2 linked regions of the Oryzias latipes genome follow. The protein of the gene in region 1 interacts with the protein of each later gene in a biochemical or structural test. Links are inferred from orthologs where the notes say so. Each region holds a gene or a part of one and is shown in the gene's direction. Other genes may lie near its edges.

Region 1 (3,500 bases):
ACAATGTGCTGTAAAAATGAAAAAACGTTTTTAAAAAATCAGCAAAACCCCAAAAGGTGAATCACATTATTATAGCATGGTACTGCAGGGTTTAGTGTCCAACTTTGTTTTTAGTGTCTGCTGGTTTCATTTATTCATTCATTATCTGCTGATTTGACAGGATAGACTATCTTCCTGCTGTTTAGCACGTCTTATTTGCTGAAATGTTGCCTTCTCAACCCAAAGAAAAATAGACTATCCCAGTTAGATTAAGTTTAATTCATAATCATGCAACATTGTCATGTGCTTTGCTCATTTCGGCTTGCCATCCCCTTTCATGTTTTACATTTGTCATGTAACATAGACAAAAAAAAAACCACACAACTCTGTTCCACCAACCACCCCCAAAAATTTTCCCTACCCACCGCTTCCTTACCCTCAAATCATTGCCCCATGTGCCTTCGCCAAACCCTTCCACCTCACGTCATAGTTCCTGGTGGAGACGGGGGGAGGAAGTCTTCCCTTGGAACGGCAGGAGATGAGTCAGAAGATTGAGAAAGTTAAAGCTAAACAAGCAGAGCAGTGGGCCAAAGTCATCAGGCAGGTAGGACCTTTGCAGTGGCGGCAGCACTAGGGATATAGGGGTAGTTGTGCCTGTTTTTTATTAGAGCTTTGCTTCTAGTATTTTTTGATAGATTTTTATCTGTCATTTAGACTCTTAGATAAGCCCAGCCGACATTCATTTAGCCTTTTCAGGCTTTTTTTTTTTAATAAGCAAGGAGTAGGAAAAAGGCTTTTTTCCCCTTTTGTCATTCCTGCTGCTTTTGCAATACTTGTGTTGTTATGTTTCTGCTTGAAGCATCCCAGATCTCCATTCTCATCAGATTTCTTAGCTAGTAGATTTCTGTCATCCGCTGCCAATGGTTTTATTGTTCTACAGGTTTCAGAGGAGTCGGCTGAAGCATGGGTAGATGAGTTCACAACAACAGGGCCGGATTTTCATCAAGCCAAAGCTGCAGTGGAGGTGAGCCAAACTTTTTTAAGTCCAAACCCAAAGCTTTTGTCCGATACTCAGGAGATTTAGCTCTTTTTGTTATAAATTTAGAGGAAGGAGGAGAAATCCAATCAAGAATTTTATCTTAATATGTCCTTATTAAAGCAAAATAATCCTGTTTTAGTTGAAGTTATTTCTTGACACGGTCGTTCAAGCCATCCACGCTTTTCTGTGGATAACAAAAGTCAAATAGTGTCTGCACTGTAGAGAAATGATTTGAACTGTGTGGGAAACTGTAAAATGGATGTGTCATTTTGTCAGAGTGATGTGGATTTCTGGGAGAAGCTGCAGCAGGAGTGGGAGGAGATGGCCAAGAGAGATGCAGAGAGCCATCCCTGGCTGTCTGACTTTGATCAGTTACTCAGCTCTTCTTATGACAAGGTAGCTGTCAACCTCCTCCATGCTCGAATCCTTTGAGAAATGGTGCTGATGTTGAAACCTTGTGTTGTATTACATTCTGCTGTAAGCCCGAGAGGTTCTTTTGTTTATAATTTGTCATTGGATTCATCATCATCAAAACATTTTGACCAGTTTGGTTGTGTTTTTTTTCTGTTTACTTTAGGGTTATCAATTTGAAGAAGACAATCCTTACCTGTCCCACCCAGACCCTTTGTCAGAGGGGGTTAAAAGGATGGAGGCAGGGGACATTCCTGGAGCCGTACGGTTCTTTGAAAGTGCGGTACAGAAGGAACCAGACAACCAGCTGGTGAGATTTCCTGTTTTTAGTTGCTAAACATTTATTTTTTTTCATTTTGTAATGGAAAGAGTCCACATTGAGTTTGTGGCATTTCTTTTTAACAGAAAGCAAAATATGGTTTTATTAAATTACCAATAGTAATTCTTTTTCTTTTAATATTTTTTTTTATTAACGAGGTTTATTCATTTAAAAGGTGAGTGTGAAATAAAGTGTATCTATTTTTACGTTTAAATTGCAGGCTTGGCAATATCTGGGTACCTGTCAAGCAGAAAACGAGCAAGAGTTTGCTGCCATCAGCGCCCTCCGCAGGTCAGAATGCAGAAGTGAAAAATCCAGCCTACAGGCTTAATGTTCAAAGCAGAAATCTGTCTCGCCAGGAAGTGCTGCAAGTTTAAGTGCAGTAAATAATATTTAGCTAAACCATTTTCTATAATTCTGTTTTAAGCAATAGGTAGGAAACAAAAATATATATTCTAATTTCTTTGAGTGACATTTTTCCTCCTCCCATTGTTATTTTTAGGTGTATAGATCTGAAAAAGGACAATTTGACAGCACTGATGGCGCTGGCTGTTAGCTTTACGAATGAGTCGCTGCACAGGCAGGCCTGTGAGACTCTTCGTGACTGGTTAAAGCACAATCCTAAATATCGCTCTGTGTGGGAGCAGCATGAGCATGAACGCCAAAAAGACGGTCCTGGAAACAGGGAGAAGGAGAGCGAGAGGTTCGGGTCCCTTTTGCCAGAGTGAGTGTGGTAGATGAGGAAATTTAAGCCTCTAAATATTTATGTATTTATCTTCTTTTTTTTTGCGTGGCAGTTTTAACTGAAATTTTTCCACTTTTTCTTATTGGTTATTTTACACAGGTCGCTATTTACTGATGTTCAGTCCATGTTCCTGCGTGCAGCCAATGCAGACCCCACCCAGGTGGACCCACAGCTGCAGTGTGGCTTAGGAGTCCTCTTTAACCTCAGTGGAGAATATGACAAAGCGGTGGACTGCTTTAGTGCTGCCCTCTCCGTCACTCCCCAGGTTAAAGCAAAGATCCTCTTCTGAGATATTCATAACGTACTGTGTGTGTGAATTTTTTTTTTATTCTGCTTTTTGCCTTTCTTTTTTTTTCCTGACAGGATTATCTGTTGTGGAATAAACTGGGAGCCACTTTAGCTAACGGAAGCCGATCAGAAGAGGCTGTGGCTGCTTACAGGAGAGCTCTGGAACTTCAGCCAGGTTTTGTCCGCAGTCGCTATAATTTGGGAATCAGCTGTGTTAACTTAGGTGCCCACAGGTGGGGAGCCTTTTAAATTTTGTAAAAAAAAAAATTAAAAAAAATCTTTTTGTTTTGTTTATAATACTAGTTAACCAAAACTAGTTTCAAGCAAACATATCAGAATAAACGTAGTTGCTCTTTGATAATAGTTGACTGAATGGGATTTAAATGTTGCACCATCTAAAATTTTTGTTATTTTTAACTTCGCAGAGAGGCTGTGGAGCACTTCCTGGAAGCTCTGTCTCTGCAGCGGCAGGCTGCGGGTGACGGTGTGAGAGCTCCGCAGGGCCCTGGAGGTATCACAGGAACAGTGATGTCTGACAACATCTGGTCAACCCTGCGCATGGCTCTCAGCATGATGGGCGAGAGCTCTCTGTACGCAGCAGCTGACCGGCGAGACTTGGATATGCTGCTGGCTCATTTCAGCCAGAGGGACGCTGATGGTGGGACGGAATGAGGACCAGTCAGGGGAGGGTTCATCAAGTGTGAATGTGCTTTGCTGGG
Region 2 (4,275 bases), on another chromosome or scaffold:
TTATGTGCACATTTTTTCATGCATATCAGACAAGATAAAACATGTGAGTCTCACATTTGCTGCTGGCCGGTTGCTTCAAGGCTTACTCCTGATGTTTCTTCAGGTTATTGAGTCATGCAGCACAAACGATATTTTTATATATGATGTTTTACAGTCAGGAAGGGACTCTTGGTTTGCTTTGCTACCACTTTTCGATTGAGTGGTAACTCAAGTCCAAAACCAGGTCACAACAGAAAAAAGCTTTTACAAAGCTCTTGCAAAGCATCGCAGGCAATCCCACCAAACCACTTTGTATCAGGTATCTTCAGAACTCTGGCATCTTCTCACCAGATGACACTTAGGATTCCCACCTTAATCTAGCAAACCAAATACCATGATGCCACAGATGACGGAGTCGGCCTCACACGCCCACACTGTGGGGATGACACAGAGCTCGTCTCTGATAGAATGCGAATCGACAGCTCTGCACGCGCTCCCCCACATCTCCTGCCTTCACACTTGACATCACAGAGACTCCCTCTTGAAACCACAGCTCACTTTGCACACACTGAGGCTCTTCAGAGCAGCCTTTTTCACCACTCCCCATCTCAGCTAGGGTTGACTGACGTTGGTTAGTGGGGGGGCAAAGAACTGACATCAGATTTTCACTGTTCGTCCAATGAAATACATGCATGTAATAAAGATCTGGATGCAGTTTTAAGCTTTTGTGATCAATTTAAAGACATTAAACACTTGATATGTAAGCATCCCTTCATGGCAGTTAAAAAAAACATGAACAATATTGAAGTTACTTTTGTGGACTAAACATAAGTTTCATACTGAAACTCCTCTTTCAATTTGTTGTTTTTATTACTAAATAGATCAAATAAATATAATGAACATTTTGAATATTGTTTTAAATATATAAAAATGTATTAAAGTCATTACATCGTTCATAAATTATTTATTAATATACATTATTTTGAGGTTCAAAATTTATGAGAGAAGAGTAATTGATTTTGTCATTACCCATCACTTTTCTGTTGATTCTTTGCGCCCTCTGGTGGACAAAGGTAAAATGAGATTTTCGGTGGATTAAAATGATCAGACAGTACTAATCGAGTTGATTTCATCGATACGCCCATATTTTGAATAATTTAAATAATAAAAAGCAAAAATTGTTTTAAAAAAATCTCTATACAAATTGAATAACATAGTAAGATTCAGAAGTCCCGAAGTGTTTAGACCGGTTTGGATTGATTTGTGGTACGAATATCAACTAGTCTTGCCTGACTTGCTGTTTTCGATTGCTAAAGTGGTACCTTCAATATAAATTGGAAATTCCAAAACGATAAAAGTAAACTACCTAGTAAGCTAGTGTTTCATTTGTTGAAATAACCATTATTGATCAGCCAAAGTAAAACATGTTACATGAAAAGCCACAAAAAAGAGAATAGAAACATACAAAAATATTACAAATCAAATCCCTTAGAATAAAGAAAAAAACAAGGAGTTCAGGAAGGCAACACGGCAAGTCACAGGAGGACATCTGTCATCACAGATATTTTTTAGCTAACCATCACAAACTTCGCGATGGATTCACAGCCCCCACTCAAACCGTGGGAAAGGCGAATTCCTGGGGGTATGAGCGCACCTATAAACTACAGGTAAATGAGATTCAGGAAGTTATTTGTAGGGTTATTAGTTGTTGTTTCGAAGTTTTCCTAGGTAGCCTAATGCTAACGTTGCTAAAGGAGCTACTGCTAAACAATTACAGAACAGAACGAAACACCATATGAAACGCTGGTTAAAGCTATTACTGATTTATAATCAGGATAGTTGTATCTAAGGTACACTAGTTAATTTCAAATATGTTTAAAATTCGTCTAATTGTTTTTAGACTGTGTTTTTAGACTTGTTTTAGTACTTGTTGCTACTAGTTTGCATAGTAGCCAGGCCCCCGTAGTTGCCAGATATTTGTTGCATTGCCTTAATAAACGCAAAAGTTTTGCTATGAATTTTTTGAAAGATATTATCTTTCTGTTTGATTTTTTAATAGTAGCAGTTTTAAATCCATTAAGAACGAAAAAGCAGAAAGTCTTGTTATTTTGCTCAGATTTCTTGGTTGTCCTGCTGGTTTAGCTCCATCACTTTCTTTACACACAGATCGACAGACTTTGGACCAATTGCAGGCTCCTCCATTCCTGCTGGCCCTCCAGTTCTGACCAGAATGGCTCCTCCAGTGCCTGCTCGCCCGCTCCAGCAGTCATACCGCCCATCCTATTCCTCTTTCACCTCCTCTTACAGCCCCTATGGAAGCTCCATCTATGGGGGTTACAGCCCTTACAGCTATGGCGGCGGTTATGGCGGTGGCTTCGGTGGCAGCTATGGTCCGGGAGGGTACAGTCGTTTACCCCACACAGAAGAAATCGCCCCCAGCCGGTTTGTGCAGCAGGCAGAGGAGAGCAGCCGTGGAGCCTTCCAGTCCATTGAAAGCATCGTCCAGGCTTTTGCTTCGGTTAGCATGATGCTGGACGCCACCTTCTCCGCCGTGTACAACAGTTTTCGTGCCGTGCTGGACGTAGCCAATCACCTAACAAGGCTGCGTGCTCACCTCACTAGAGTTTTGTCAGCCTTCGCTCTGGTGCGCACGCTGCGGTATCTCTACCAGCGTTTGCTGCGGCTGCTGGGGAGGAGGTCAGATGTGGAGGACTTGTGGGCTGACAGCACAAGTGATGCTGTGGTGGCGGGTTCCTCCAGGGGATATGAGGCAGGAATGGATGAACAGAGCGTGAAGTCCTGGCCTATTTTCCTCTTTTTTGCTGTGGTTCTGGGTGGACCTTACCTCATCTGGAAGTTGTTGAGCTCCAGCCCCAGCTCTGATGAAAATAGTAAGGCTGGCATTGAATCCTTAATTTTATTGGTTTATTTTTCCGTTTGTTTGAAGAATTTACAACAGAAGATCATAAAAACACCAAACCAATGACCACAGTGTGGAGTTGTCGATTAAAGTATTATTCATTTAATAATACTATTCAATTATCTTGATGTAATCGTGTTTCTTCTACTTGATGTGCTCAATAGAAATGTTGTTGTTTTTTTCAGGTACAAACTGGGCCAGCGGGGAAGACGATCATGTCGTGGCTCGGGCTGAGTATGATTTCTCAGCAGCTTCTGAAGAAGAAATTCCTTTGCGGGCTGGAGACATGCTAAACCTGGCCCCTAAAGGTGAGACCTTCCTCAAATGTGTCGTGATTAATTAAAGTATTCCATAAAACTGCCTTTATTAACAATTGGTATATTTAAATTCTGGTTGCAGAGCAGCAACCGCGGGTGCGAGGCTGGTTGCTGGCCAGTGTGGATGGCCAGACAATTGGACTGGTCCCAGCTAACTATGTGAAAGTCCTTGGCAAGAGGAGAGGCCGCAAGCACGCGGAGATGGAACGGCTCGCTGAGGTCCAGGAGGAGAACCAGCGGGCCTCTCAAACACCAGCAGCTGCGCATGGTTCCACTTCAGATCTCTCCACAGCCTCCATGGCTCCCTCGACAGACCACCTACTAGAATCAGTATACAGAGAAATCCCAGCTGCCTTCGCTCTGGGAACATCCAACTCCAGCATGAGCTCTGACACAGTGTTGAATATCCCTGAAAAGACGGACCTGTGACGACTGTGTGTGCATGTGTTGCATTTACATCGTCTGTCAGTCAGTTCAAGTTTATCATTTCACTAATCAATTCTTCTGTAGGTCTTTGATTTCATTCATCAGCACAGTTTTCCTCTTAAAGTAAAATGGCTCAGAATCGTTTTTGTGTGAGATGATGTGTACTACATCGTCTTTGTGTTCTGTGAAGTCCAATTATGGGATGCATTGATGTATGTTAATGGGAAATGTAAAAGGGTTGTTGATGTCATGATATACATGTGAGGTTTCACCCTCAGGTGAAGCCGGGTGGACATCTGTAGGTTGTTGTTTTTTTTTGGATCAAGTGAAATTTGATTCACTCAGAAATAAGAAAGACTAGCTTTGCACATTTTAAAGTTTGTTAGTCCAATGTAATTTTGTAAATACTTAAAATAATTATTTTGAAAATAAATCTAATGGATTATTTTTTGCAGTATTAATCTGCAACCAAAAAAAAGCACGTCTTATTTTATTATTTGTGTCGAAAAATGTTGCGTGCGTGCGTGTGGAAATGACAGCTCTGTTTGATGTACGACAGAAATTTTGGATTTACGGTTTTCGTTTCCAGGCAACAGGACGCCCTTGGCTGCTGCAGTGCGACATCGGGGGCGA

What was found. The genes of interacting proteins can lie anywhere in the genome.
Region 2: the proteins of pex5 (region 1) and pex13 form a complex in vitro, tested with the Homo sapiens proteins (3 studies listed by BioGRID). The link is inferred for Oryzias latipes from reciprocal best matches to the Homo sapiens genes PEX5 and PEX13.

The regions. Positions count from the first base shown.
Region 1 is NC_019874.2:20,509,101-20,512,600, forward strand, and holds part of pex5 (peroxisomal biogenesis factor 5), read left to right. Parts: intron 1-469; coding exon 470-583; intron 584-919; coding exon 920-1,003; intron 1,004-1,294; coding exon 1,295-1,414; intron 1,415-1,595; coding exon 1,596-1,739; intron 1,740-1,968; coding exon 1,969-2,039; intron 2,040-2,250; coding exon 2,251-2,472; intron 2,473-2,592; coding exon 2,593-2,758; intron 2,759-2,856; coding exon 2,857-3,014; intron 3,015-3,206; coding exon 3,207-3,453; 3' UTR 3,454-3,500.
Region 2 is NC_019873.2:7,361,650-7,365,924, forward strand, and holds pex13 (peroxisome biogenesis factor 13), read left to right. Parts: upstream 1-1,475; 5' UTR 1,476-1,572; coding exon 1,573-1,646; intron 1,647-2,145; coding exon 2,146-2,870; intron 2,871-3,084; coding exon 3,085-3,207; intron 3,208-3,298; coding exon 3,299-3,645; 3' UTR 3,646-4,120; downstream 4,121-4,275. UniProt on the Homo sapiens protein: Component of the PEX13-PEX14 docking complex, a translocon channel that specifically mediates the import of peroxisomal cargo proteins bound to PEX5 receptor.